5 linked regions of the Oryzias latipes genome follow. The protein of the gene in region 2 interacts with the protein of the main gene of each other region in a pairwise test. Links are inferred from orthologs where the notes say so. Each region holds a gene or a part of one and is shown on either strand. Other genes may lie near its edges. The genes, in order: snx15, arl6ip1, snx12, acsf2 and spg21.

Evidence for each region.
Region 1: the proteins of arl6ip1 (region 2) and snx15 interact in binary tests that used the Homo sapiens proteins (3 or more experiments, as listed by UniProt). The two-hybrid records come from large-scale screens. The link is inferred for Oryzias latipes from reciprocal best matches to the Homo sapiens genes ARL6IP1 and SNX15.
Region 3: the proteins of arl6ip1 (region 2) and snx12 interact in binary tests that used the Homo sapiens proteins (3 or more experiments, as listed by UniProt). The two-hybrid records come from large-scale screens. The link is inferred for Oryzias latipes from reciprocal best matches to the Homo sapiens genes ARL6IP1 and SNX12.
Region 4: the proteins of arl6ip1 (region 2) and acsf2 interact in binary tests that used the Homo sapiens proteins (3 or more experiments, as listed by UniProt). The two-hybrid records come from large-scale screens. The link is inferred for Oryzias latipes from reciprocal best matches to the Homo sapiens genes ARL6IP1 and ACSF2.
Region 5: the proteins of arl6ip1 (region 2) and spg21 interact in binary tests that used the Homo sapiens proteins (3 or more experiments, as listed by UniProt). The two-hybrid records come from large-scale screens. The link is inferred for Oryzias latipes from reciprocal best matches to the Homo sapiens genes ARL6IP1 and SPG21.

Annotation. Positions count from the first base shown.
Region 1 is NC_019876.2:12,562,980-12,567,659, reverse strand, and holds part of snx15 (sorting nexin-15), read right to left. Parts: coding exon 4,663-4,680; intron 4,581-4,662; coding exon 4,313-4,580; intron 4,239-4,312; coding exon 4,065-4,238; intron 2,829-4,064; coding exon 2,631-2,828; intron 1-2,630. UniProt on the Homo sapiens protein: May be involved in several stages of intracellular trafficking. Overexpression of SNX15 disrupts the normal trafficking of proteins from the plasma membrane to recycling endosomes or the TGN.
Region 2 is NC_019866.2:2,354,609-2,361,053, forward strand, and holds the start of arl6ip1 (ADP-ribosylation factor-like protein 6-interacting protein 1), read right to left. Parts: upstream 4,353-6,445; 5' UTR 4,226-4,352; coding exon 4,190-4,225; intron 3,151-4,189; coding exon 3,017-3,150; intron 1,998-3,016; coding exon 1,878-1,997; intron 1,105-1,877; coding exon 987-1,104; intron 780-986; coding exon 695-779; intron 275-694; coding exon 156-274; 3' UTR 1-155. Other genes in the region: serine/arginine repetitive matrix protein 2, read left to right, coding at 6,307-6,445. UniProt on the Homo sapiens protein: Positively regulates SLC1A1/EAAC1-mediated glutamate transport by increasing its affinity for glutamate in a PKC activity-dependent manner.
Region 3 is NC_019872.2:7,799,566-7,806,083, forward strand, and holds the start of snx12 (sorting nexin-12), read left to right. Parts: upstream 1-2,133; 5' UTR 2,134-2,359; coding exon 2,360-2,524; intron 2,525-4,767; coding exon 4,768-4,863; intron 4,864-5,168; coding exon 5,169-5,293; intron 5,294-6,518. UniProt on the Homo sapiens protein: May be involved in several stages of intracellular trafficking.
Region 4 is NC_019877.2:19,412,231-19,418,677, reverse strand, and holds the start of acsf2 (acyl-CoA synthetase family member 2, mitochondrial), read left to right. Parts: upstream 1-2,452; 5' UTR 2,453-2,524; coding exon 2,525-2,625; intron 2,626-4,573; coding exon 4,574-4,769; intron 4,770-6,336; coding exon 6,337-6,447. UniProt on the Homo sapiens protein: Acyl-CoA synthases catalyze the initial reaction in fatty acid metabolism, by forming a thioester with CoA. Has some preference toward medium-chain substrates. Plays a role in adipocyte differentiation.
Region 5 is NC_019861.2:37,278,913-37,285,440, forward strand, and holds the start of spg21 (maspardin), read right to left. Parts: upstream 4,416-6,528; 5' UTR 4,282-4,415; intron 4,116-4,281; coding exon 4,053-4,115; intron 1,188-4,052; coding exon 1,026-1,187; intron 838-1,025; coding exon 757-837; intron 666-756; coding exon 520-665; intron 451-519; coding exon 342-450; intron 214-341; coding exon 106-213; intron 23-105; coding exon 1-22. Other genes in the region: AP-2 complex subunit alpha-2, read right to left, coding at 6,079-6,156, 6,227-6,361. UniProt on the Homo sapiens protein: May play a role as a negative regulatory factor in CD4-dependent T-cell activation.

The sequences.
Region 1 (4,680 bases), on a different chromosome or scaffold from region 2:
GCTCTGCCAAAACAGGCCTTTTAGAAATATGTCAAAAATTCCTAAAATTTGTAAGATTTTCTTTTAATAAGCCACAAAATCTGCCAATGTGGTAAAACAAAAATGTCTCACCAGGAATTCTTTTTTAAAATCTAGTCACTATTTTAAACTAAGATTATTTTTTAATTTAAAAACTTTCCTAAAAGGATTATTTCTCTTGCAAGACAGACAATTTCCTTGAAACAAGGGTCTTTTGCTTTTTTTAAATTCTGTTTTTGCAGTCGGCACCTTAGATTGCTCTGTGTGGCTCCAATGAAGAACATGTGACGTCAAAATTTAATTTTATGCTTCTAAAATTAGATCTGACAGCAGGAGGGCAGAATGCCAAACTCACGCTGCGTGGAGACAGTCCCCTCCTGATAAAAGCCAAGCAGAGGATATGTTTTTGGGAAAGTTTAGAAACTGGAGAACAAATAAATGATGTTTAAAGTTTCCCCTTGACCAATGTTGAAGATCATTTTAGCACAAAAAATCCAACAACTAGGGGTTGTGTCCGAATACCTTCACTACTCACCATATAGTGCACTATATAGTGCATTTGCCATTTTGCAGTGGTGTCTGAATCTACAATTCCAAAATTGAGTGCCCTACAAATTTCCCAGAAGTCTCTGCAAAAAACCAGTGTGCATCGATGCTCACTAGATTGTCAAATATAGACCACAATGCATTGCGTTGGAACAATTTTTGCCAAATAAATGTATTTTTTTAATAAACCATCAACGTTTTTATCTTCAAACCCCCACCCCCTTCCCCTCCCTGCTTCAAAGAAATTCAGAAAACTTTCTTTTTTTTTATTTGCTAAAAAGAAAGTAACAATAAAAAAAACATTTAAGTTGGCTCATACTAAGCCTAAGATATTGTAATAAAATAATCAATCAATCAACGCGTTTGTCACTTGTAACGTAAACATACCTGTATTCAAAAGTGATACAATGATTCACTTTCTCGAAGAAACGGTTTAACGGTGTAATATTCGGTTTGGTTTAAAACCAAGAATCCCATTAAAAACTGCTTTTTCTAAAAGTCATTGGGGTTTTTTTTCCACGCAGTTATCATCCGGCGTCATATCTGACCTGCAGCACACTTGATCTATTTATTTAATTTGAGCCGCAGGAAACTGAGGATAAACAGAATCTTCATTTTTGATTTTACTCACAACCCTCTCAATAGGGTCACCTGCTAATCATGTAGTGCTACAACTCACAAATACACATTTGTTTAGATCATTAAGCATTGAATAGATCCAGAATCCTACATTATTCCACCACTTTTCTTTAGCTCAATCAATTATTGCACCTGATTTGATCTATTTTCTAAAGAGCTTTACAAATGTCAAATAAAGATGATCAAAGAGATGTTACTCCATATGCATTTTGCTTGATACTCAAATCTTAACTTTAGAGTAAGGAAAGGGGAAGAGTGGCTGCAAGCTAATAAGAATGTGTCATAGGATGGATCCACTAGTGCCTGTCCTCTGCGTTTGTGTAACCGTCCCCCTCAGACAGGGAGCCTGAAGCCTTTCTGCCACAGACCCGACGGACTCGTCCGCTGACCGGATCCTGCGTGGGGACACTTCATTCTGTGGATGCCAGTCCGCTGAAACATGCTCCCCCATGTGGAAACAATAACAGCAGCAAATGCATTTGTGCAGCTGCTCTGGAGCAAATCCACAAACAATCCTAACTGGACCATAGCAATACCTTTACGCCATGTTACTTCCACAGAGGAAACAGTTGCATTGAGGAACAAAAATAGCCTATGGATCATTTCAGATAAGCAGCTCCTGCATGTCAAATTTGGATACAGCGGAAATTTACAGCACAGTAACAGGAAGGTTATCTAACTAAATTTACTTAAGTATCCTTCAATACAAATAATCTAAACTCTGTTGATTTAATTCAAAAATACCACATTTTTATTCTTTGGCCTAAAGTTGTGTGTCCTAAAACTTGTCGTTTTCTTTGGACAGTTTCTGCAGAGCGGCAGAACTTCGTTAAAATTCGCCTCTAAGTTGATAGCGGGACAGTTGGTGCAGAGAAACCCCCACCCCCTTCCCCTCCCTGCTGCTGAGAGCTCTCTGTTTACATACTCTTTCGCTGGCTTCCAGCCCCTCAAACCCCTAACCCCACATTCCATGGATCCAGTCGTCTATTGGATGAATCAGAATGGAGCAGAGCAGGCAGCTTGTGGCACCGCTCAGTGCATGTTTTTTACGCCAAAACTTCAATCTTTTTCAAACTGCATTTTTTGTCTGCTCCTGATTTACAACAATTTGAATAAAGAAATACTCAGAGATGCTGTTTTAAGCTTAATTCTCCTAATATCTATAATAGAAAAATGCTCCAAGAACATGTTAAAAACAACAGAAACATGGGTCCTTAGCTTCATCACATGACTCTTGAGTCCTAATGTGCATCATAAACCTTGCAAGATAAAATGATGGAACTAGGAAATGTTGCTTTGTTAGCTTCCCAATTTATTTTTTATGTTTTTGTATATAATATCTGTAAATTAAAAGTAAAATATATTTAAAAAGATTAAATAAAAGCTTTGGGATACTGTATGCACAATCCATAAATATTTCACCATACCTTGCACTCCAGTGATCAGGATATCCACAGCCGTCCTGTAACCCCGAATGGCAGAGCTGAACTCTCCCTCCTTCTCCCTCTCCATGGCGGCCTTCAGCTCCTTGGCTGCTTGGTTCAGGTATCCCACGTCCCCCCCATTCAGACTGGAGGGGAGCAGGGAGAGCAGCTCTGAGTGATCGGAGGAGAAGCCCGTTGCTTCTGGAATAGAAAAGAAGGGATTCCTTCAAGTGCTTATTCAAAATGTAAAATCCCTCCATCATCTTAACCCGCTATAGCCCTTTTGGGATCATGGGGTTGCTGGAGCCTGTCCTGGTTACTGTTGGTAGCCGGGACAATGCACACATGCACACCTAGAGACGATTTCAATTCACCAAATGACCTATAAAGCATGTTTTTGGTCTGTGGGAAGAAGCAGAAGTGCCCGGAAAAAACCTGCACATGTAGAGAGCTTGCAAACTTAAACCAGGGGCGAGAGGGCTATCCACTACGCCACCATGCAGCCAATGTTTGAATCCAATTTGTAAATTAAAGGCACAGGGATGTGAAATATTGCAGTTCTGATTAAAAAAACTGTATGGGACCTCAAATTAACAAATAGGTTATTTTTCTTTGTAAAACTTCTTGAATAAAATTAAAACACTGATCTAAAAAATCATATTAATAAGACTATTAGTTTTGAATTAAAGCAGCGAGCCGTGTTGTATGACCCATAAGTGATACCCGTCCCCATTTCCCCGGCTTTATTTTCCCCCTCTGCCTCTGCCACCCCGGTCAGAGCTGCATGTTGTTGTTTTTTAATGGCAGCATCTCTGTTGGTTAAATCTCCATAAAAAAAAACCATTTTATCTTTTGGTCGCCTGGCGGTGACGAACCGGTCTGTGTCATTTTAAGTGACAGCACATTTTGGGATTTCCTTGGCAACTGAGGTCCACATTCCTAATCTGTTTTGTATCATCTGCTGTATCATTTTGTTCAACTTGAGCCAGTATTACATTCATGTATTCATTTCTTTTACAATATTTGGGTGGCAAATGTGTGGGCAACAGGAGAACGCCACTTATGGAGGCTCCCCGTGCTAGCACCTCTGAAAATCGACTAAATTCTTCCAGTAGCTTTCCATTGATGCTCAAGGAGTTAGGAGGCGATAAGATGGGAAGTTTAAAATTGTAGCTGATACTAAAGGTGAATTTTTTAATGGAAAATAAATAAATCTAATTTAATGACATTTTGAAGTTTTGGAGCTAATGTTGACTCCGTTTTTTAAAGTAGATTAATGCAAAACGGCGACAAAAAACCCAAATATTTAGCAAAGCTGAAGCCTAACAAATAAAAGCTTGGATTTGGGAAGCTAGAAGATAATCAGGACTTCCTGTTTATGCTTATTTTCATTCATAAAAGCATTCAAGTTTTGCCCAGAGGTGTTGTGTTTTTGACCTTGTGTGTAGCAGGGATCAAAAACCGCCAAGTCGTTATCAGACAGAGGCGGGGGGCCCTCTTCCTTTGGAGATGGGACTTTCTCCTCTGCCTCTGAGTCAAACAGGGAATCGAACTCCTCGTGGGTCCCGTCTGGTTGGTGGCGTCTTGGTGAAGATATTTCAGGAGAAGCAGCTGGACAAACGGACAGAAGATGAGAACAAAAATCTACCAAAAATAGTAAATAAATAACGTTTAAAGTCTCGTACCTCGCTCTTCCAGATCACTAAGTTCCTCTTCTCCTCTGGGAGTTCCTCCGACCTCAACGTACGCCTCGGCTGCCACCTCCGGCTCCCCCAACTCTAAGCTCAAGTTGGTGCCCAAATCTTGGGGTAAAGTGGGGGCCTCCCTGCCCTCTTCCTCTTCAGCCGGGTCACAATCCGAAGCCCTCCGCTTGGGCAGGGGAATTAGAGGGGGAGGCAGAGCCCCGGCCGAGAACAGAGGGGAGGGATCAAGGGGCCTTGTGACTTCACCCCCCTGAGGGAAGAAAAATGAAGGAAGAGAAATGAGGAGGAGGAGGGGGATATGAGACAGTGAAAGTGTGAATCTGTGTCCTCACTCTGAAGAAGTCCTTGAG
Region 2 (6,445 bases):
GCACGGGTGTCTTTAAAACTGAAGGGTGGCGAGGTCTAAAGGTGTGAAAACGGCCAATTTTTTCCAAGGTGTGAAAAACAAAAAGTGCGTTTTATTTGCAGACAGAGCCTCTCGTCGTCCTCGGCAACGCTTCGTTCCAGCGCCTTTCGTCGTGTCTATTCGTTCTTCTTCTCCTTCTGCTTCAGCAGCTTGTTGATCTCCCTCTTCGCCATGCCCGCGTACTTGCTGATGATGCCGTGCTGGTTCAGCCCGGGCAGCAGAAGCAGGAAGCTCACTGCAGAAGAGGCGACCGCCATCAATACGGTGCGTCAGCTTTTGGAACCGTTTGCACAACACAATTTCTCACAAAGAACAGAATGCAAAAAAAACTTTTTTTTTTAAAAAGAAGAAAGCAGCTGGAGGAACAAGTTTGACTTGACATGAAGCACAAGTGATCATGAAGAAACTTGCTCTCCACTTTTGTTCTGACTTCTAGACATGTCTCAGAGCGCTGGAGCTGACAGAGGTTCACCTGTGACACATCTGTGAATCAGCAGATGTGTCACAGGTTTAAACAGCAGGAGGGTGCGCCTCTAAAAGCCCGCATTGATCTGTGGATTGATCTACAGTAGCAGGAAGCCTGAAAGTCACGAGTAGCTGAAAAACTGCAGAGTAAGCACATTGTCACGACAACACAACAAAGACACAACCTTACCAGTCAGGTAGGTGAGGAAGAGGTTGTGCACCTGCTGTCCGATCCAGGCCACTGCCAGCAGGCTGCTGATCACTGAGGCAAAGTACTGTGAAGATGAAACAATGGGGGAGAACTTCCTGAGCTTAGAGAGAAACTCATCAAAAACAAAAAGGAAGTGCTTTATGTTAAAGTTTGGGACTCCTGCTGCTTGTAACCCAGTTACAAGCGGACCGGCTCAGCCTAGTCAGATGAAGTTTTAATCTGGGCCGCAGTTTCAAACGCTCTGCTGTTCACTTGCAGCGTTTAAATTTACCATTTTGGGCTTCTCCTCCTTCAGAGCGCAGAGACGCTTCCACCAGCCAACAACCCTCTTCTGACTCTTCACCAGGTTTCCGCAAATCTCATGGAAGCGTTGCTGCTGCTCAGTAGTCCTGCACTCAAACGGTTAAGAACACTGTGTGAGGGGTGGGAGAAAGCGTGACCTCGTTTTATTAAACTTTGATAAGCGGCTTTGCTTCATGGATGGCTGCTGACCGCAGTTTCTGCATGTTCACAGCCTTAATATTTCCTCACTAAAAAAAGGGAAAACTTTCTTGAAACCCCCATGTTGGAGCACTGCCCCCCCACTTTGCCGAGTCATTGCCTGTGTTCTCAGAGCGGGAGCACGCTCAGTCACATTCATCGACCTTAGGACATCGTTTTGATCAGACTCCTCTGCAGTCTCAGCAACGGACAACAAAAGTCAGCGAGCTGGTCAGACAGAACGACAGCCTGGCTGAAGCTGCAAAATGAAAAACGTCATCCGAACAGATACTGGAGGTTCAGATGACCCAGAATAGACAGTCAAATAAAAGCTGCTGAACACCACCAGCCCGTCTGCTGCTATTTGTGTTAAGTAGAGCAGCGCGGGTCACGGACAGCTGATGGGGGGTTAAATATCCAGAAACCTAAGACACCAAGAGAGGGATGAAGGGCGCCCTTGGCCACCTGCGGCGTGTCGCTCTGCCGTCATGGTGTCTGGTTTTCAGTGAACTGGCTTCTCAGCTCATTCTGACATTTCAAAGCTCAATGAACATTCCGTTTAGGCATCACGTCTGACAAAGAGAAGTCCACCATGAAGACAAAACCATTCAGACTTTTTTGTCAACCAAGTCGGCTCTGATGCCAAACTAAGAATCAAAACAGGGTTGGGTGATCCTCTCACCACTTATTGGAGCCAAATACTCGGGGGGCGAGGGTGGGAACCAAGTAGTCAGCCAAGCAGAGCAGCATGACTGTGCAGGAGAGTCCAGTCAGCACTGACGGGTCCAGGTAATACACCAGCCTGAAACAGGAAGCAAACATTCAAACATCTACTTGAAAAAAAAAAACAACAACACACAGAGGTTTCTGTGCGGTTATGAATACGACATCTGAAAAAGTATTGCGAGGCTGATAAACAATCATCCAACTGTGGGCTGCAGATGGAGGAAGGGCGTGGACACTGGGGGAATTAAACAGGAATGCAGCACATTAAGAAAGCAGCTGAACTGTGATTTTAACAAAACACAAAGTGCTTTTTAAACCCAACAAGCTAGTCTGCATCTTCAGGCTGTGATATTTTATACAACTAGAAATGTTTGATAGTTTGCAGCTTTTTTTTCTGAATATGACTTCAGATACAAAAAGCTCTAAATCTACAGGAAAAGGCGCAGCGCAGCACACGGGAAGTTAAAAAGAGAGACGTTGGCAAATACAAACAACTCAGTGTCTAATGCAGCATGATGTGAGAGAACACATGGTAATAGCCGTAAACCTCAGTTTTTCCATGTGCCGACATGAGTTTACGCAAGTCTGGGCAACAGCACTGAAGATCCCAAGAAGGTGAGATTCCCTCATCGTGGGTCAATGAGTCTGACTACCTTTAAAAGTTTTAAATCCTTACATACATTTTCATTTACCAACTTCTCTCAACTCTGAAAACATTTACACAACTGCATTTGCACTCTGATAAAAACTGAAGGCAGAGTGAAAGAGAACCGAAAACTTTCCCTCAGGCAAAGAAAAACCTTGTGTTGCAACAAAATTAGGCCTGAAAGAAGCAATTGTTGTTCAACTCTAAGAATGAAACATAAAAATGAAGAGTTTCTCAAGTTTTCATGGAAATTGGACTTTTCAGAGCAAATTCTCTGTAGCGACATTACTATATATCCTCCTTTTGTCCTTACAGGTCACCTCATTAACAATTCAAGCGTCGATCTTTAAAAGTAGACATCCGAAAGAAAAATGAAAGAATCCCAGATGAAACCATTCTGGTATGGCATGTTCTAAAACCCAACCCAGCATAGAGTAAACCCGACTTACAAGAAGATCACGGTGGTAGCTCCCACTAGAGCTCCAGGGAACCAGGGCTTCTCCCATCGCAGAACACGATCCCCAGCCAGGATCACCTCTCCCCAGGCCTGCAGCTGCTCCTCCAGCTGTGCAGTTTCCTGAGCCTAAACACAGAACACTGCTTCAGCAAACCCGGTACCAACCAACCAGTCTGGAGTCCCCAGTAAAAAAAAATGTTTCTATTTTGATGACTTTTTTTTTTATTCCTGCTTTTACTCTATTTTGACAGCAGATGAATCAAAAACAGAAGAAAGCTTTCAGGAACATTCCTGAATAAATAGTTAAAACGACAAATGAATATTTGTCTATACACTCCCTTCTTTGTTTGGTCTCTTGTCAGCCTTTCCCTTTCTAAAAACATCTTCCTTAAAACAAAAGCTATCAGTCAGAGTCACTGATAACAAAACTGTGACTCACTGGAAATTATTACCCACAGGGTGACACTTAAATCATTAGTCTAATGCTGCACTGTGACTGAAATGAGGCCTAAACTCTTTTTAGGAGGGTCTGGCACTGCAGCCAAAAGCCCAAAAACCAACAGTTTGGTTTGAGTAATTTATTCTAAAAGTTGGGGAAATGACGTGGCTCAATTAAGCGGAAGTCTTAAATTAGGCAATAATGGAGCTTTAAAACTATAGTATCCGCAACGAGACATGTTCCGCAAAACGATTATAATGCGGGGAGTATTTTAATTAAACCCACTGGGGCGTCTCTGAGAAATAACCAACGTACATGCCAACATTTCTGTTAGTAAAACCAAAAGAAGAATCATATATCGTTTTATATTATTAAGAATTAAAGCTTATGTTATGCAATTTTAACATTCAACAATCAAAATCTTCGATCGATGAAGGCTAAACCCAGCTAAAAATCATGCTAGATAGCTAGCTAACGTTAGCTACTAGCGTTAAAAAAGAAGAGTCGCGGTGGAAAGCTCAACTAATTTTAACAACATATACAAACAAAACTTTAAGTTAATATTATTAACAGTTTGTAAGTTAATAATGAACATTAATGGAAATATTATGCGGCGAAAAGCTAGTAAAATTAGCATCTGCGAGTCATGCTAACGTTGAACACATTAGGCTAAAACCACCAAAATACGTCACGAGATGAAGAAAAGGAGGGAAATTGTGCACTTACTATTACGTTTGAACTTTTGTTGTCGCCTTCAGCCATCACGGTGGTTTCGGTGTTTTAGATTTGTGGCGTGAAACCCCTTAAAGTTCTACAGCTAAACTGGAGCTGGGGATTAGACTGCACTCCACCTGCTGCTTCGGCGTCTCTAACGGTCGAGCTAAGACAGGATGTTTTTATCTCAAAACCTGCGTCAACTTTAACCACTTGCATTCTGGGAAATGAAGTTCTATGCTTCTCTGCACACCGACAATTGTCCTTTTTAAAAGCAATTAAATAAAACACATCCATACATTTAAAAATGTCCCTTCGCTATGTCCAATAAATAAATAAATAAATAAATAAATAAATAAATAAATAAATAAATAAATAAATAAATAAATAAATAAAAATAATAGTAAAAAACACGTTTGTTAGAAATAAGGAAATTTAAAAAAGTGACTCACGTTTCCTTTTAAAGGTTTGAGTTAAAAATTCAAAATCGTCTTTAACGTACTGAATATTTTAGAAACAAATTCAAAATAGACAACAGAAAAGTGCTCACAGATGAAAGTAAAATATACAATTTTGTAAAACAATTTTAAAAATATCACTAGCTGAATAATATTTCAGAAAAAAATGGATAGTTACACATTTTATTTTTCAATTTTAATATGGTTTGATGAAACGCTTCTAAACTTTTAAATGAATTCATTACTAATGGGTTTAACCTTTACTTCAGTATATCAGGAAAAAATAATACCTTTTAGAATTTTGTTTAGTATTGTGGCTCAGTTCACTTTATTACAAATTAATGATAAGCAAATGTAGTTAATAAATGCATTACTAAACTACGCAATTCTCATGAACATCAATGTTCCTACTATTATCTTACGGCACTTGAACGCATCACGGTTTGGACGACTGTTGAACGTGTGACGTAGTTTTGTCTTCCTCTCACTTATGCCGTGGTTGAATTGAGAGCTATCTGGTTGCTAACAGTGCTAAGAGTGCTTTTGTTCTAAGGATACGGTTGTTTTGAGGATCAATTCGACCAATTTGACAGTGGAGTAAGGTATCAGACGCAAAGTTTAAGTTGATATAAGTTCGGTATTTTCTTTTAAAAGAAAGAAAAATCGAGCGAAACCTACAAATTGGTACGTAGCTGTTATATTAGCATGCTAGTTAGTTAGCTAGCTAATGCGTGAATTCTACCTGTTTAATTTATTCAGGCCTTCTTGGATAATTTATTTAAACATAAAACGTTAGTATAGCCTAGAAATACATTTTTTGTAGTATTTCTGATGACATTAGTGAAGTTTTAAAGTCACTTACAGCAAAAGGCCTATGTCTGCGCACGTGTATTATAGTCGAAAAAACAACACTTTCCTCGTAAATGCAACTTAACAGTGAGTGCGCACGTTTTCTTGAGTCTCCGGACTCCTTACTATGTGTGTTGAAGGCTGATTATCATTCGAGCCTGTACGGTAAACTCGGCTCACCAGATTGTTACCCAATTGTTGTTGCTGGGAGAGTTTCGTTTTGTGATGCACCACTGATTTCACACTTTTAGGTTTGTTTTTTTTTCTTTTATGGTTTATTTTTAAAATCAGTTTTTTTTACAGATTAAAAATACCAAGCGATCTTGACAAGGGAATCGCCACGTCTGCCATTTTAAAAAGAGACATGCGTCAGATAATGATATGGAAACCGTAATCCACTGTATTCCCATGTTATTTGTTTGAAGAAAATCTAAAACGGGTTAAAATAATCTGCTGCTCTGCCACATTGCATTTCAACAGACCTTGAATGTTCTGATTCTGAGTTTAAACTAAAATATACAATATTTCTCTTTCCTGGATAATAACGTTTTTTTCTCTGTGTATCCACAATGTTTACTTTATCAGGTTATAAAACATTAATGGAGATAATAATAAATGGAATAGATTGGTTGATATATTTGCATCATTGGCAAAATGAGACAATCCCTTTTACTGCCCTTATTTTATTAGTATGCAGGTCGTCGCAGATGTGTGTGGAAGTTCAGTTCTGCAAACACTTAGGAATGAAAGATTTTCCTTCACAGGAATTTGTAAATTTGGGATAAAGTTAGGTTCAGCACCTCTTTTTTCCTCTGCAGAGCCATGTACAATGGCATCGGCCTGACGACTCCGCGGGGCAGCGGCACCAACGGTTATGTGCAGCGCAACCTGTCGAGTGTGCGGGTCAAGCGCCCGCGGGACGAGCGCGGCGGCGAACGAGATGAGAAGGACCGGGAGAGGC
Region 3 (6,518 bases), on a different chromosome or scaffold from region 2:
ATCCGCAGGTAAAACGTGACAGATTTTAATACCACCGTCCTAAAAGAGCAGTGTCTGATCCTCAAGCTTTTATGCAGTTCGGATGGAATAGTGGAGGGAAGTTAAGTCAAATGTGCCAAATAAAAGCTTTTACTCTCTATAGCTGCAGTTAAACATAAAAAAAGCAATGCCCTCTTTATTATTATGAATGCGCCCTAGATAATGTTTATCTTTTTTTACAGTCGTCAATATAAAAAAAAATCTCTTCTTTTGGATGAAAAATAACTATTTTACATGTATTAAATCTGTTTTTTCATGTAAGTATTTTTCTAGTAAAATATCTTTACAATTTATATGAATGTCATTATGTTTCTAATTCAGTCTTCTATGTAAACTATGAGTATCAATATTACAATATTTCGCTGACAATTTAGTTGAAATTGATATGCAAGTTACGCGGTTTTAACGAGAATGTGTCAACCAAACATGTTAAAGTTTATCATCATGTCAGCTTTAAGCAAACAGGGAATGAATGTAAGTAATCAATGGGCAAAAGTCGAATGTGTAATGTAGATTTACTTCATCTTGTATCATTGTTTGAGGTTTTTCATGTTGAAAATTTAACATAATTGCTCTGAAAAATACTTGTCTTACCTTTATTTTAAAATGACTAAGTTCATTACTAATCACACACGTAAACATACAGTATATGCCATTAAAATGTTGCTTTTTATTTGTATGATTGCCTTTCATTTTGGTTTTTAATAAAAATGTTTATCAGCTACCTGTAGAGTTTTTTTTCCCACGTTACCTAACTTCAAGTGTCTCTCCACTTAGCAAAAAGTAGTACAGTTGAAGTTTATTTTATCAAGTATACTTGAGTATAAGTATAGTGTAAGCATAGCAAGTCTATTGTACAGTAGACCATGTGTACGAGTAGAATAGGATTTATACTAACTGAATACTCCTGACTAAATTTGGAACATTTTAGGTTTACAGCATACAGATAGTATAAAAAGTAAAATTCAACTATACCACCTCACTTTTAGCACTGACTAAGAATACTTTTAGTACATTTACATTTTGCTAGGAGTCTGTTGTCATTTTTGGACCAAATGATTTAAAATGTTAGGATTTTTATTATAGTACTTTGTTATCTCTTGGACAGGAGCCGGTTGCTCGTGCTGGTTTGCGGCGCCTTCCATCCGTGGAACCAGGGTTCGAATCCGGGCTGCTCCCTGTTCCCTTCTCTACCTCTGTGCCGGTCCCGAGCCCGGTTGCTTTGAGAAGGTTGCATCAGGAAGGGCATCCGGCGTAAAACATTGCCAAGTTTACCATGCGACTTGTTCGCTGTGGCAACCCCTGATGGGAAAAAGCTGAAAGTGGAAGAAGTTATCTCTTGGACAAATCCTAAAATTGAATTGACTTTCATTATTTATTCCACTCCGAGGAAGTATCATGTTTTTTCCTCTGTACATGTTTACATTTACATTAAGTCCCCCCACTCCAGTCCTCTTTTGATCTATTGTAAAAGGGTTCCCAGGGGTCTTTTAGTTACGATTTTGCCATTTTCAGGCAAAAAAAATAAAATAAAAATAACATTGTTATTTTTTCAGGACAGATTTTCTGTAGAGCGGTAGAACTAAATTTTGAAATTTGCCTCTGAGTTGTTGGCGGGACTTTTGGCACGGAGAAAAGCTTCCCTGACTTCCCATCATCCCTTTGTTTACACGCTGTCCCACTAGTTTACAGCCCGTCAAAACCTCAGCATAAAATTACCATGGCGAATAAAAAAGGCTAGCAATATCGCAGCCATCCAATTGTACATTTTGGGCCAAATGCCAGCTCAGACGAAGAAAACAAAGCCGTAAATAGATCTAGTCGTCTATAAGTGAATGCATCGAAATCGGGCGGAGAGAGCTTGTGGCCCACCAACTGTAGCATGTACATCACAGCTACAGGCTTTTTTTTGTCTGCTCTTGATTCACAGCGATTTGATTAAAGAAATACTCAGCAATGTAATTTTGAACTTCATTTTCTTTACATGTGTCATTCATAACGAGAAAAAACGCCACAAGAACATGGAAAAAAGACTGAGGTATAGGCCAGGTATAGGCCATTGCAGTTACAGCAGCATCCGCTAGGGGGAGTGCAGAGCCCCGCATAACACGGAACTGAAGTCTTCGCAATTTCCTCACAGAAGAAGGGTAGGGCGCAGGGCGGCTGGCCCCCAACAAGAAGAGCGCTACTTGGCCGACCCTACCGATCTGCTTTAGTCATCAATTGAGGCCTTCAGATGAGATTTAAGACGTATGCGTGTTTTTAAGTTGGTTTTTACGCTAATACTTTACTGGCCATCTAAAAATTACAGCCCGACAAAATGACAGATCCTGTAGTAGCCGACACTCGCCGGTTGAATTCTAAGCCCCAGGATCTGACGGATGCTTACGGTCCCCCGAGCAATTTTCTGGAAATAGATGTCTACGATCCCCAGATCGTTGGAGTGGGAAGAAACCGTTACACTACTTATGAAGTTCGAATGAGGGTAGGTTTAAAACGTCTTACCCGAAAGGGGAATTAGCTAAGCGTGCTAAGCTAACTGATAATTACAATGTTTTTGCTGAGCTGTTAGCATGTCAAGGCGGAAGGCTAAAGTCGGCACAAGAACGGGACTGTGATGTGAACGGTAGCCGCCTAGAGTCGCTTCAGAGGCCGCAGAAGTAGGACTGGACACGCGGGGATTAAGGACGGCCTAGTTTTTGGTTTGCTAGCTGTGCTATTTTTGGCAGAAGTTTCATGAACGTCTGTGTTGGACGAAAAAACGTGTTTTAAACATACTTATGCTCAACTAAATACACTTTTACTTGTTTTAAATTCACCGCTGTGGATAACATACAAAATTGATAAATAAAGTCAGAGAAGACAGCACAAGTCGTCCAATAAAAACTGGCCATTTTTTATTCCAGCAACTTTTGATAACTATCCTTAATAGAAATAGTTGGCTATAGGCTATGTATTCTTTCTTTCAACAAATGGGTAACTGAAATAACTTAAACCTTTTTTAAGGGCAATATTTCGTCCTAATTTCTTTTTTTTTTCCTTTGGTATTTTCCTTTTTAGTCGCACAAATGTCCTGTAGTTTATTGGCTATCCACATCAGTGCTAGTTGCTGATTTATTCCCCTTAAACTGTTCAGCTTGTAACAAGGAGATGCTTAAAATCGCCAACATGGCACATTCCTAAGACATTTTCAGGAAGCAGACACAGGATAGACATGGTCATTACAAAACCGCCATTCTCTAAAAAAGTGTTGTCAGCAACGTTTCTCAACTTTATTATCAACAAACTGTGGCTTGTAGAATTACACTGCAACAACTGTTGATTCAGTATTTCACGTTTGGGTCTGCTGGGAACGTTTAAGCATTTTCAAGATCATGTTGGATCAAAACTATTGACTGTAGAGAAATGCCAGCCTTGTTTGAATAGGAAATAAAAATGTTTTACATTTAGGTTTTGTGAAATTTACAGCAAACAATTACGAGACATAACAGCTCAAAATGTCCCTCAGTCTGTTACTACAAAGAAAAAGTTCATTGTTGTCTGCTCAAACCAGAATCTGTGTCCCTAACACAATCAAATATGGCGGAGTGGTACCTCAGCTCTGAATAAGTTTGTCGAACAGCAACTTTTAATGCATTATTTGGAAGAACATAACATATATTTTTTTAGTTTAGCCACTACTTTCCCCATTTTCCCTTCCAAATGTAACAAAAATAACTCCAGATTCTGTAACTATTATAAAAGTATTTGTATAGTTTTAAAGTCCCACTCTAATCGTCTTTTGATTTAATTTAAAAGCGTTCCCAGTGTTTTTTTTTTAATTATGATTATGCCATTTTTTTAAAGCAATTCATTTCATTCATTCATTCATGAATGATGAAAAAAAAGGATGAATTTTTTAAAGCAAAAATCAAAAAGCCTGTCATTTTCTAGGACTTTTTTTTTTTCTGCAGAGTGGCAGTAGTTTAAGAAATTTGCCTCAGAGTTGTCTGTTGGTGCGGCGTGAGCCCGCTCCTTTCCCATCAGCCATCTGTTTACTGGTTTCCTGCTGGCTTACAGCCCCTCACACCCCAAACCTAACATTATCAGTGCACAAAAATTGCTGTAGCTGTCCAGCCGTACAGTTTTGAGCCTGATGCCAGTTCGGACGATGAAAATAAAGATGGATGGATATAGTTGTCTGCAAGTGGACACATTGGAATCAAGCAGAACAGGGAGTTTGTGGCTGTCTGTAATAGCTTCTGTATCACAGCTTCAAGCTTTTTCCAACTGTGTTTTTTTTTTGTCTGATCCTTCTTCTGGACAATTTGAATGTAGAAATACTCAGAAATGCAGTTTTATGCTTTTATTTGTGTTTACATATATATATATATATATTTTTATTTTTTTTCCATCATGGGAAAAATGCCACAAGGACACCAAAAACTAAATTTTAATCGAAGTGGGTCTTTCATGAAACATTGTTTATAGCTGAGGTTGGCACCTATGACTAATTGCTTTTCCGCTATTTCTTAAAATTCTGTGAATTTCCAATCAACTGTTAGAATAATAAACACAGCAGCATCACAAATAAATGTACAGGATGGTATGTTTGGCCTTACATGTGTTTTGCAAATGGTTACAAGTAAACTTTTGTCTGTTCTGACAGTAACTTTCACCATCACTTTAACTGGTAAGCCAGTGACTTTTAACCAGAGAAATCGTCTCATTTTTCTTTTTTCTATGTAGACAAACCTTCCCATTTTCAAATTGAAGGATTCGTGTGTGAGGAGAAGATACAGCGACTTTGAATGGTTAAAGAATGAGCTGGAGAGAGACAGTAAGGTGAGTGGCCAACAATAACACGATTCAGGCTAATAATTGAAGGAGGCCGACCTAATCGAGTAATTACAGTGACTGAGTGGACACACATCTACAAAACATTAACTTGCCTAAAGTAATACTTGCATTGCGAGGTTTGAACGGTTCTTTGTTTAGAGAATAAAAACGTATCTGTGGCGTCCTTTGTCACGACAGCTTTCCATCTAAATGTGGAGAAATGTTAGTCGATAAAGTGTCTGTCGTATGGATGCAGCTGCTCTTTTTTCTTTTTTTTTTCTTTTGTTCATATAAACTTGTCTTGCGTTTAGATTGTGGTACCACCCCTGCCGGGGAAAGCACTAAAAAGACAGTTGCCGTTCCGCGGCGATGAGGGCCTTTTTGAGGAGTCTTTCATCGAGGAGCGGCGAGTGGGCCTGGAGCAGTTCATCAACAGGTTGTTCAATAAAACAAACTGACCACTGACTGTCCTTTAGCTGGCGATTTGATTTACAAATCAAGATCGATCAATTTATCAAACCATTATTCTCTCCATTTAATATATATAATGTTTGTCTTTTATTAAATGTATGAAACTTAAAATATTATTTATATAAACACCATCATTTATACCTTTATTTACAACAGGAGATCAGAATAAAAAAAATCATAATGGATAAAATCGCAAACATTTTTAAAGATGAGAAATGGTTATTTATCACTTTAAACAAAAGTTTTTTATGCCAAATTCCTAGTTTACTTCAGCAACAAACAAAACATAGACATCTCTGTCACTTTGCATCATTTTACAGCACATCTAGAAAATATTTTGCAGTCTTTCCATCCTCAAAGTTTTGCTGACTGCAGACATACCAGATATATGATAAGCTAGTGAATGAAGACACAGCAGCACCTAAATAAAACAACTGTAACAACTACATCCACAGTCCTTTAATCTAAACGGACAACACTGTTTCCAACAGACACGTTTTAGTGGAAATACTAAAAAAAAACACGTTTTTGAAGATTTGCATCAGTGCGACTTCTCTGCCATGATTGCAGGCAGTCATATGAGGTCACATAATTAAACAGGATATTTTCAGAAGTTTCTTTTCATATTCTGTATATGTTTTGTTTAAATTATAGACTACATTTAAACAAAATGTTTTTTTTCCCAGAACTTATTTCAGCAAACTGTATTTTTCAAGTAACAACAGTTCCAAAAGATAGTGGGAGGAAGAAAAAAAACATTTTTTACTCCCACCCCTTATACATGCACAGAGGACTATGACATATTGTAGCTGGTGGCTTATTTACATTTAAAGTTGATTCATTTAATATCACTTCTATCTTTTAATGTGCATTATTCCTTTAATAACAATGAGCATCAGAATAATCCACATCAAAACTGTCTAATTTCACAAATTAAAATTACTAATAGTCTTTATAGTCTCATTTTCAGGGTCTTTATTTTTTTATTTGTGAAAAACACTTTGATAGCTTGACTTGAAGGAGTTTAAACCTTTACTAGTAGGATAATTTGTTTTGTTTATATACTCAAAATACAACATTATTTTAGAATTTCAGAGCGATTAGATTGCCTGGAGTGTATTTTTACTGTACTATATTTACAAAAAAATGCAAATCAGCCAATCTTGAACTCCGCAAATAACTGCTTAATT
Region 4 (6,447 bases), on a different chromosome or scaffold from region 2:
CAGGAAGAACAGTTTTCTAATGATCGGTACTTTAATATGTACACATGTATTTGATAAATAGCTGCTTATCTTAGGGAAAAAATTATGTAAAGTAAGAGGTAATCCTAATTTTAAACACAATCCTTTGTGAATCCTAGATTCTGAAAGATGGCTGCAATCAAGAAAGCAAAGCTTTCACTGTTTTCACTAAAAACGAGTTGCGTGGACAAACCAGATCAATAATCCTCAACGGTATGTCAACATGTTGCTCTAAATAATGATGACCTCCAGGAGAACCAGGTTCAGTAACCACCGTTTGCGTCCAGTTTGGGCCGGAGAGGACAGGAAAGAAACAAACACAACAGAGAAACTAGAGAGGAGCTCAGTGACTGCACAGAAAACAGTCACAATATAACAAGAAATGAATGTCAAATGATGGTCATCAGCGTTGCTGGAGAAGGCGAGGTGAGCGATACTCCACAGTCAAGGCATCACCAGTCAGTGCAAAACTCGTGTGGTCATTGTCGATGGTCCAGTCGATGCACGTTCTTACCTCAGAGACATCATGGAGCCCATCATCATCATCATCCCTGAGTTTCACCAGCACATCCCCAACTTTCTGTTCATGGAGGACAATGCTCCACCACATGGTGCCAGAATTATCACAGCTGGACCTCAGGAAGTGAGAGGGCCTTATCGATCAATCAATCATTATATATAAAAAGCGCTTCTCATACTTGGCCTTGCAATTAAAAACAAAACTAGCCACCGAAATTGAAAAAAAGCCAGGCCACCCTTTAACCCCCTCCCCTCCATCAACACATACATCCCATGACCCCACTCACAATGAAGACTTATACAACTAAAGAAACCTCAGGCTTGGCTCTGCTGTGAAGAAACAGTATTTTGAAAATCTCCTAAGGAACATCGCCACAGTGGCCACCCAGACCGGGACAGCAATGAAGTCCACTCCACAGCCGTGAGGCTGCAATGTTAAACTCCAGCCACCCCGGCAAGGGCGACAACCACCCCACATCAAACTGGCAAGCCCTGGTGGAAAGGATCCTCATAGGGAACACTGGGGCTAAAATCATAAGAAAGACGTTAAAATTAAATACATAACATCGAAAATCAAACTAGATACAGAAAATAATAAAACTAATAAAAAATGATAAATGGCAGAACAAAGCCATAAGGTATGGCCAGAAATGCCCCATGACCTGAACCCCATAGAGCAGGGGTGGCGAACAAGTTTGACACAAAGAGCCGCCATTTTAACTGTGAGAGTCAAAGAGACACACGATGCACTGACCTGCCAAGACATACACACACAATCACGCAATTAAAGCCATATCATTTCCCATAAACACTCCTCTCTTTACAATACAACAGCAAGTATTGTACTAGTGTTTATTTCAAGGCAAGTGTCCACTCTCAATACATTTATCAAATGCAGCTTAGCCAGAGTTAACACAGCGGCTACCTTGGAGGTCAGATAGCACCTCAACACACAGGAATTAAGTTTACTATTATTATTTGTTTTTAATACCCTCTGGTAGATTTGAGTGTGGTTTAGGAGGCAGAAAAACTAAATTTGAAATGAGGCACAGAGCAACAAATGGAAATGAAATACCCATCATAAATGTTCAATTTTGGTTATTTGGGATTATTTTTATCATTATTTTTGTCTTAGTTGGTTAACTGAAGGACTGGCACCCGAGGAATCAGGGATCGTTTCCCAGGGGGCGCGATACTCTTCATCTCGTGTAGGATCTTGGGCAAGACCCTCACACTACTGTCTAATGTAGCCACAGCAGGGCCCAAGTCTGGGTCTCCCTGTGCTGGTCCCCAGCTCGGACACGTAGGGCTGTGTCAGGAAGGGCATTCTGTGGAAAAATCCCAGCCAAACCACCTGTACGAATCAGTGTAAGCTGATTGGCTGTGGCGACCCCTGAAAGGATGTGCTGAAAGCTGAACAACAATCTATGTCAGGAGTGATAAATAAAAAAATAATGATAATGGTGTTTCTTCTCATTCATTATTAGTAATATCAAAGGGAACTTTTATGTATTTCGATAAAATTCAGACCAAATAGGAAAAGCCCTGATGTAAATAACATTTCTAACTTATTCTAATTCTCAGCAAGCCATTTAGGAATACTAATAACATTTATAAAGTCTATTTCCTATATGTACCAACCTGGTTCTGCATCAGACGCATGCTCAGAGCTCTCCAACCATCCAGGTCTCTAAATCAATGAAAACACAACAGAGCTCCATTTCTGGGCCCCTCTGACTGAGTGACTGCTCTGTTTTCTGCAGTATTGACTTGAAGTCGCCCCTCTGGGTGGATCTCGTGCATTTGTAGTAGGCTGGTTTGATTCAGGCATTTGACGCGCACGCGGGGGTTATCGCGTGCGCGCCTGCCCCCTCCCCGCAGCCACCAATTTCGTCCAGCCTGAGGAAGGATCAAGGTTCGAACGCGGAGCTGCAGTGTTTCACCCCCCGCGACAGTCTGAAGTCCAGTCGGCAGAGAGCTGCACATCATGGTCCCTGGCGTTGCGTTCACGGCCCGCTGCTTTCCCGCAGCTTTAAAGTGTTTGCGGACACCGTGGACAAGTCGCGCGGGACTCCCCGCAGCTGCTCGGTAAGTCAAGTCTGCAAAACTTTCACTTGAAGAAAAAAAACAGGATACACACGCATTATGGAAAACTTGATTTCCGCAGATACACAGCGTCTACAAAAAACAAGAAATCATTTTTTTTGTTTACATTTTAATTATCTAAGTTACTGCAGAATCTCAGAAAGCCCCTTTGTGTCCTTACATTAAACACACGCAGCTTTTATATACATCATGTTGCACAAATCTCATATTAAAAGCACCGATAATGTGAAACAGCTGTAGCCATAGAAGGGGAGGAGACGAGGGTGAAAAAAAAAGCTGTTTGCGATCCTGTACTAATGTACTTAAATGATCTAATTTATAATAATACCAAAATAAAGTCTCATTAAGCGCAGTCTTGCTGCCTGTTGAAAGAAAGATTGGTTTCCTTTACATAATAGGACGTTTGGAAAATATCTTTTTTCTTTATGGCTGAAAGTATATACGTCAGACATGAGGCGTGAATCTGCAGACGGAATCCAACCCTGCTCCCTGTGAGTTACCCTGCTTGTTTTGCAGCTGCTTCAGTGATTACTGAAGGAAGGAAAAATAGGCACGGATCATGACCGGATCTGCACGGATCTGGCAACATAGGTTGCCAGATCCGTGCAGATCCGGTCATGATAAAAAAGTAGATTCCAGTAGAGGACCATTTTCAGAAATACCCTAAAATAAATGTTTGTACTGCAATTTATCACAAAAAAAGACTTTTGTTGTGTTTATTTTGTTTGGTAAATTGTCACTTCGAAGAAAAGGCTTTGTGTTCCATTATTTGTTGTGTTAAGATTAACCAAACATAATGTTTTTTAGTAAAAGTGAACAGTAGTTAATTTACAAACTCCACTCTGATGAAAATTGTTTTATGAGTGTTATTTTAACATGCTCTTGTGGTATTTTTCTCATGATGGAGCGCATATATCAAAAAAATGAAGTTAAAAACCCATTTTTGATTATTTATTTTATTCAAATCATTGTAAATATGAAGCAGAGAAAAAAATCAGAAAAAGACTGTAGTTGTGACGTACAACAAGCTCCCTGCTCTGCTCCATTCTAATCCATCCTCTTAGGGATGTCTAGATCCATGTACGTCCTTGTCATCTAAATCAAAACTGTACGGCTGGATAGTTCTGGTATTGCTCGCTATTTTTGTTGTACCGGTATTGTTGGGGGGGCTGTAAGCTAGCTGGAGTGAGTGTAAACCAGAGGTGGGCACTGAGGGCCGCATTCCTGCATGTTTTCCAGCATACCCCGCTCTGGCATGTTCTAATTGGCTGGACACACCTGAACCAGGTAATCAGCCATGAGTAGGGCAAGATTATTGGCTGGACACACCTGAACCAGGTAATCAGCCATGAGTAGGGCAAGACTATCTGGAAATCATGCAGACACACCGGCCCTCGAGGCCTGGAATTGCCCACCCCTGGTGTAAACAGAGCTCTCAGCAACAGAGAGGGGAAGGGGGGTGGAGTTGCCTCGAAAGTTAAAAAGAACAATTAAAATAACAATTGAAAATATCAATTAAAAGGAACTAAGAAAAATGCAATTATATGAAAATTAAAATACGTATTGATAAAGAAATAGGCTTTAAACATTACAAAACATTAAAAAGAATATAAAAGAAATAATAGTACAGATTATACTAAGGGGGAGAGGTATATTAAAATTCAATCGAAGGATAAGGACAATTCTAACTTCCTGTTCTCATTCAATCTCGCTGTAGCTCAGTGTTCGCCTTCATCTCAGGCACATTTGCCCGAACCCGGACTTTTTTTGAAATGCCGGTACTGAGTTACCGGAGAGTACCGGCCCACTTAAAGCACTGCCTCCATGAATAATGTGGTTTCTCTAATGTTGGAGTTACTGCTCACTTCCTAAAACTTTAGACCTGTGCTGTAAGTTGGCTGACATTTGCAACAACTCCCTCTTTCTCCAGTTTCATTCATGTGGACGGACCGCCAGTTGTTCCCACGCTCACGACCAGCTATGCGCACGGCACATCCTCCACACCGCTGCTGCACGACACAGTCGGAGGTATGCTGCAGAAGAGCACGGAGCGGCATCCCGACAAAGAGGCCGTCGTCTTTGTGCAAGATGGAGTCCGCAAGACTTTTGCACAGTTTCAGCAGGAGGTCAGTTACGACCCAACAGTAAAAGAAATTAAAAAACAACAGCATTTTTAAAATGGAAATTATTAACACTTTTTCTCATATTTTTGTTTATAATTCATGCAGTGTGAATCAAATTAACTGAATATGTACAGCGTGATTTCAGTTTTGGTTAACTAAAGGTCTTTCTACTCTTTAATTTAAAATCTCTGTGTTAAACTCTATCATTTTATCATCACTTGGTACAACAGCAAAAAGATGTTTATGGTGGTTGAAGGTCCTGATGTACCCCTCTCCTGGATGTTTTTCCTTTTATTCTCAACTGACTGATGGCTTCATTAGCCCTCAAAGACCTGATGTCAGGGATTTGAATGCTGGAGCACATGGTAGTGTCATGACTCTGGGCTCTTTTATTGCTTTTCTGTATTTCTGTCTCCAAGTTTTTGATCAAAGTCTGATGTTTTTCTTATCTTATCTGCTAAACTCCAACAAAAGGAGCAAATCTTTTAAAAGCCTCATCAAAGTCCATCTTAAGTTGATTCGTTTCTTCTTTCTGTGAGCTTACATGTGACTCTATTAGTGCTGATCTGTCCATCCTTACGCTGTTTGTGTGTTTAGTTCACAAATCAAATCAAATTTTCTTTGATTTGCACTTTTCCAACTTGTGTTTCTCAAAGTGTTTTACATAAAAGCCTAATCAAATTTGAAAATCAAAAAGCAGGACATTACGCAAAAATCTTATAAAAACCCATACAATTCCCCCTCCCCCCACACACACATACGCACACCAACGTAAAGTAAAAAATGAATCACTATAGTGATGCAATATAGAGATCTGGCTTTGTACTGAAGTGGGGAAACAATATTTTGGGGACCTGTCCACATCAGTGACCCCCCCCACTCAATTTCACAGAATACGCTACCACAGGACCCCCCAGATCCAAGCAAAGAGCCAGACCTGGGAGATCCTATTGCAGTGACCCCGTTCACTGAGAAGGGTCAGTCACTGATGTGGAGGATCCCTCTGAGGAAAACGCTGGAGTTACAGATAAAATGTAAAAAGAAAAACAAAAAAGATAAATAACCAAATAAGAACATAAATAAACCTTAATAGACAGATATAGATCAGTAAAAGTAAATAAAAATATCAAATGAGTAAAAAGAGAAGATAAAATAGTTAAAATATCATATAAATTCCAAAATTTTAACTCTCAAACTCGGAGGCAATTTTCTAATCAACTTCTGGTGCTCTGCAGAAACTATGTCCTAGAAAACAACACAAGTGTGTTGATTTTGGCTACAAATAATAATTATAATAAAAGACCACTGGAAACGCTTTGAAAATAGATCAAAAGATGATGATAGTGGGTCTCTAGGTACCTTTAGCTTCAGTACAAGTAATTTATCATCTGTGATGTGAAATCATGTTTTTTACTCAATAATTTTATTTAAAGTTGGTTCTCCCAGAGGACCTAATAGACAACTGAACAAGGAAACAAGGGGCCACTTTTAATATCAAGAACTAGATTAAATAGGAATCTTTTCATCTTTATTCTCCTGTGGTTCAGTTAGATCTACCCGTTTTGCTCAGGTGGACCAGGCTGCTGCCGGGCTGCTGGCACTTGGACTAAAGAAAGGAGACCGCCTTGGTATGTGGGGGCCCAACATTTATGAATGGATCCTGTTCCAGTTTGCAACAGCC
Region 5 (6,528 bases), on a different chromosome or scaffold from region 2:
ACAGAGCGCTTTGGTCAAACACCTCAACAGGAACAGGAAGTGACAGTCAGGCGGCGGCGGCACTGATGGTGAGCGCGGAGCGGTGGGGAGGGCGGGAACACTTACATCTATGATGGTCACAGCCACGTCTTTTATTTTGTGCGGCTCCACGTAGGAGTTCTGACAGTTGAGCGTTAGCCGTGAAGCTAACTCGCTTTGGTTGAGACTCTCCAGCTGCAGACGCACAAGAGGAGAAGCTCAACAACCGGAACACAACCGCACAACAAGGACGCCGGCTTGGTTAGAAAATCCCCACAGAGCTCAGAGACGGTCCGCAGCAGACCGCCACGGCGTCCACGTACCCGGTCCACCATGAAGTCGATGCCGTCGGCCATCTTGGGGTCCATGGGTCCTCGGGCAAAGTTCCCCAGAACGATCTTCTTCAGCAGGAAGGCCGGCATGAGCCAGAAGCTGAAACAGAGACAGACGTGAACGCCAGAAGACGGCAAGCTCCCCCTGCCGACGAGCGGAGAGCGCCACCTGTTGGCCGTCCACGTCTGGTTGAAGATGGAGGTGTCGCTGAAGGAGTTGCACAGGACCAGCGAGTGCACTCTGGGAGACTTGTGGGTGTACTCCGCAAACTTCTGGGCCAGGAACCCGCCCAGTGAGGCGCCGAACAGGTGGACCTGTGAGGGGGAGGGGGCACAGGAATCTCATCAGTCCACGCCCCCACGGGTTTGGACCCAACACAGTTTCACCTCAGAACCACACAGGTACCTTGTCCAGCTGCAGGTGATCCAGGAGCTTCCTGAAGCCGTCGCAGAACTCCAGCAGGTCCCAGTAGACCGGGTACTGCAGCTGAAACCAGAACAGAGGAACCGTCAAGTCCAGACGCTCAGGGAAACGCTGCACCATCCGTTCAGGCCGGACTCTTCATCAGAACCTTCATCAGCGACCGGAATCAACCGATGCGGATAAATGACATGTAAACATAAAGGATTGAGTTAACGTGAAGATGTGCAGGAGAACAGGATGAACCTGCTTACCGAGATGACCCGGTACCCCCAGCCCGTCAGGGCCAGAACCTGCTGGAAGAAGACCTCGGCCGTCCCGCTGACCGGCGGGAGGAAGATGATGGGACAGCGCACGCTCTTCGGGCCGGCGTCGTACAGAGACCACACCTTACTGTCGTCGTCATCCACGATGATCTGGAGGAAACAGGAAACCAGAGAACTCGCCTCAGAGAGGGCGGGGAACCAACGGAACCAACGGAACCAGAAGAGAACGCTCCAAAGAAAGAAATGCTAAAATCTAAAATCACAAAAGTTTAACAAAAGAGGAAAAATGTGAAAAGTGCAGCGAGAAGCAGAAACATGCCAAACAAGGCCAAAAAAAAGCAAATACAAATGAATCTCTAAATACTACGAAAATACAACAGCGTCATGACGGTCCATAAAGGGTTCGGTTGTTTGTTCATCACACGGGTTCTGTTGTAAAAAATAACCTGCGATGGATGAAAATGGCGGCGTTAGAGTCTAGATGTTTGAAGGCAGAAAACTCCTGACTGAAGACTTTCTAGACGTTTCACTCTGACAGGTCAGACCTTTGGAGAAACATGAGACGATAGCAGGAGAACAACCATCTGATGGGTTCTGTTCAGGAGACGGACTGACGACAGCCAATCAGGAAGCAGAACACTAAACGATCAGCAGCACAAACGTCAGAAGTGAACCGCGACCACAAGAAGAACTCAAAAGGCCGAGTTCAACCAAAATGATCAACCGGAGCCAAAGGCTGAAAAACACCAACTAAAAAAAGAAAAAGAAAATTCTGCATCTTAAAAAGCAAAACCAGAACAAATAGCATCCAGTTGAAGAATTCATGTGCTAACAGCTAAAATGTTAGCATTGACGCTTTGTTCTATGGCAGCCCCTCCCACCAATCAGGAGTGAGCTTGTTGGAAGGCCACGCCCCTACCACTGGAAAGCTGTAAACGTTTTGAACACTGGACAAGGGGGTCAACAGGCTCCGCCTACTTTTATTGAGGCGTCTGATTGGCCAGTTAATGACTTGACTAACTTGAGATACAGGAAAAAAAAAGAGTTTTATCAAGTAGATGTTTAAAAACAAAAAGGTATCCGATCCAGAACGGTTCTTCTGACCAACAGAATGACAGCTGTTGATTTGCAGATACTTCCTGTTTGTAGCAAAGGGGAGGGGCCCCTCCGTCCAGTTCCGGTATACAGTCAGTGGTAACAAAAGAATCTGCAGAGAGGTTTTTCTGAAAATCTTAAATCCTTCAGATCAAACTTGTCTGGGGGGTTTTAAGCCGTGCTGCCAGAAGCTGACCTGCATCAGTCACTCAACCTCTCTGTCCCAGAATGCATCTCTCCTGAAGTGCATGAGTGAGCAGAGGGAAAACGAGTGGATTCGTGCCAGTAAAAGCAGCACATGTGATGCCCGTGTGAAGCTGAGGGAAGCATGTGACGGCTGGGTGATGAACGCCGTCACATGACTCTCCACCTCTCAGAGCCTCAGCAGCAGCGGCTCAACCTCCAGCTGCGGGAACCAGCCGGGTGTCGGCTCCAACGCCAAACAAATCCCCATTTTTAAGAGATCTGTGAGCTAAAAACCCGACGGGAATAATCGTCTTATTCCAAAAGACAACGCGAGCCGTTGTTCCACCAAACAGCAGATCCGAGGACCAAACCCGTTTTCTGAAAGCTAATCTCATCTTAATCCAAGAGGGCGATCCGTGCCGCTGAAATCCAGCCTCAGATTTCTCATTTTCACGCAGAACTCAACACAAAAGTCATGAACTAAAGCAATCAGAACGATTGTTTAAGCAATAATTGACCACAAATCTTGAAAAAAACCTAACAAACTAAATGCAGAGACGCCTGACACTCATGAGGGGATTTGTGAGGTTTAAATTAAACATCTTTAGCAGAAAACGTTGTGATATTTTCTTAGACTAAAATAGAAACACAGCTGTCAGGCTCCAAGCTTCCTTTTTCCAAGGTAAAACCTTTTTTTTCTGCTGTGGAATGAGATGCAGAGTCTTCCTACTATATTCACTAACCACAAAAACAATGTTTACAACAATCTGAATGTAAATAAAATTTGAAAAAAGACAACATTTGAGCAAAATCATAAAAACTTTATGATTTTATCAAACATCTGTTTGAGCGGAGCTTCATTTTTCCAAACTGTGGTTCTCCAGAAAAACCATAAACCAGTTTAAAAAGTGAATACAGGAAACAGGTGAGACAGAAGGGACAAAATGAAAACACGTAATGGCGAAGGGGCGTGGTCTAAGCAGTGCGTTCTTGGTCTTATTTTGTTGTTTGTCAACTGTTTTCATGGTGATTTTATTGAACAGAAGGGAAGCAGGTCACAAGATCAAGTATTAGTGCATAACATTTGTAAAACGTTTCTTAGACAGCGTGACAAGCTAACGTGTGCTTTAGAGACCATGATACTACCACCACCTGTCAGCTTAAAGACCACGCCCTCATTTCCATATAAAGTAATCCTCAACCTTTGAATAGGAGGGCTTTAAAACCAGGTACGGTAAAGAACACGGGCGCTAAAGCCACGGCGATTAAAGGGTTCATTTACAGAACCAACCGAATTCTACGACAGAGTCAGTCACAAAAGTCTGGAGGACATTTCACAGCAAGCCTCCTCCGACTGTAGGTTGAGGCTAGTAAACAGAAGAAGAAGAAGAAGAAGCCCCTCCCTGCAGGCGCAGTGTGAACACCTGGTCTGAACGGTGTGCATGTAGTTTCAGAAAAATAACCTCTCTGGGTTTAAGGAGTTCAGCTGTGTTTGTCCTGAAGCTCGGTTCTGAACAGGTTCGGCTCATCAGAACCTGAAGGTTGATCCAGCAGGACAGAATCCCGATGACCCGTCACGGAATGGACCCCTTCACACCTGGGGTGCTTTTGTATCACGTGACCACGAGAGCAGGTGTTTCATAAGAATTTCAACGCGCGCGAGCGTTAGCCCTCATCGCATCGGCGACGGTCCAGCTGCTCCGGAGTGAGGCGCGTGACGAGGCGGGAACTTACCCTCTTAAGTGGCACGGTGCTTCGGAACCAGTTGTAGTCTGGAGACACCTTGATCTCCTCCATCTGCGGACACAGAGACGGTGACTCAAGTGTGTGTGCGGGGGTGTCCGGGCTCAGCTGCTTCCGCGCGGGGGCAGCTGTTAGCCATAATAGCGGCTAGCTGCTAAACGAACCCCGCGGTAACCCCGTTAACGGCGTAGAAACCGACCGCCCCGCCAGCCCCACTCACCGTGGACGTCACCGTGTCAGAGCCCACGCCGCTGCTCGGTGAAGGGTCACCGTGTCCGGAGACGTTTGTCCATGTCGGGTAGCGCTTGGAGCGGCTGCAGCTCGGTCATGTGATTTTCCTTTCACACACTTCCGCAAGTAGCCTCTCCGGTGCTGCGTTCGCGGTCGCTCTGAAAATCCTGTTCTCCGGCAGTAAGAAAGCCGCTTTGGTTTCTTAAGTCTTGCTTAATTTCTGTTGTCGTTACAGTTTTCATCCTATACAATGTAGCACTCAAATGTATTCAATGTTTGTCTGAATATGGAATCAATAGAAATGTAAGAAGACATTACAGACTCGAGATTCTTTCCACACAAAACCCAACGAATCTCCGAATCCCCGTTTTTCTCAAACGCATCGGTCAAACCTCAAGGTAATTCTTCTCATAATTTTAACTTCAGTCATCAAAATATTTGGATGAAAAACTTTCTAAAACAAACTTAATTCTTGAATGAAATGCGTTTTTGTTCGTAAATTGTTCTGAAATTACAATTCATACAAGTAAAATGGAATAATTTACATCTTCAGTGTGGATCAGTCTTTCATTGAAATCCTGTCTGTTCTCATTTTTTTGTGGTTTAACCTGGACAGGAAACTGAAATGACAAGATGTGTAGATTGGTTCCGTTTCCCAGAGCGGTGTTGGTGTGTCGTTCAGACTTTGGCCCCCATCGGTTCTCCAGCTGTTTCTTTAAAAGCTTCATCTGAAATCGTTTAACCACCTCCAAGTGTGTCTGACGTGACGCAGAGAAGATCAGTTATGGAAGGTTTAAACTGCTTCCTCAGGTCGTCCCCACTGTGAAGGTCAGTTTATTGGAAATGTTTTCTTCCCATTTGGAACTTAAAGGCAGCTTTAAAGCTTGTGAAACATGAGCGTAACCCCAAAGTGAATTTATTTACCCTAAACTGTTTAGCTGTTTAACAAACGTTTGATAATGAAGATAAAAAGGAGGAAAACCACAAAAAGACAACAGTAGAAATGATTTTTTTACCAAACTTTATAAAGTTGAGGGAAGTCCTGGAGCCCCAAACAGACTTAAGGACACATTAAGGGAAGAAGCTGCATCAGATTCTCTTCCAGGCACATCAGCGTCTCAATGACAAACGTTTTGGCAGTGAAAGCTCCAGAAGACAGAAGAAGTGCTTTAAGACGTTGGAATCTCCCATCCGACACATGCAGAACGGTCCTGTGCAGCAGCGTTCTGCACTGCTGAAGGTCTGAAGGATGGACGCATTTGAACTCATTCACCAATGTCCAAAGGTCAAAACCTTAGTGAGGGGGCGGGGCCAGAGCCCAGACCCACTGTGGTTAGTCTAGAACACGTTTGAGTCTCCTGGAAAGTATCAAACGTACAGAATCACAGAGAGCAGAAAATCCCACTAACCAATCCCTGCTCAGAATATGAAAAGCCCCGCCCACATCACACAATTTAAAGTAAAAAAAAAAAGTACCAACAGATGTAGAAATACACAAGTCGTGTATTTCTACTTTTCCCTAAAGGTATAAATGCACATTTGGATGAACGTTTCCGTCCGTTAGTCCTTCAGCTGCTAAGCCGATGTGGAAGTTTGAAAAAGCTGGAAGTTTTCTAAGGTGCTCAGTGTGAAAACACACACAAACACACACATTTAACGCTGTGACACATCAGTGCAGAAACACCTTTGCTTCCATGTCAAGCAGGTAAAAACGGCGACTCCACGGCGGAGCAAATCTTCTCCAGACTGGAACACGGCGAGCAGAGCGGCGACAGCGGCACGGAGCCTAGAACTGTTCTGACAGCAGCTGGCAGAGCCTCTGGGAGACGGAGTCCCTGCTGGTCCGGAGGGTGAGGCGGTACATCTGGGGACACAGTCACGCATAAGCATGGCCACCCCGGGGAGGTCAAAGGTCAGAGTGGAGGCCGTCTTACCTGCGCGTGCGTGTTGGGCTCCAGCCGGAGCAGGCAGCCCACCTGAGCGCTCTTGCTGTGAATGATCCCGGCTCCCACGAAGTTGGCGGGGTTTGGATCCACGCCCTCCAGCAGCGCCACGCCGAACCCCAGGAGCTGCAGGATTCGCACAGGAAGCGGGTCAGACGTTTGTGCAGCGCTACTGACTGTCCCACAGACCCACAGACCTCTGCAGGGCCACACAGACTGGTTTCCATGACGGTGATGGCGTGGCATGATGGCGGTTAACCAGTCAAAAATAGACCTAAAGTCTAAGGTTCGTG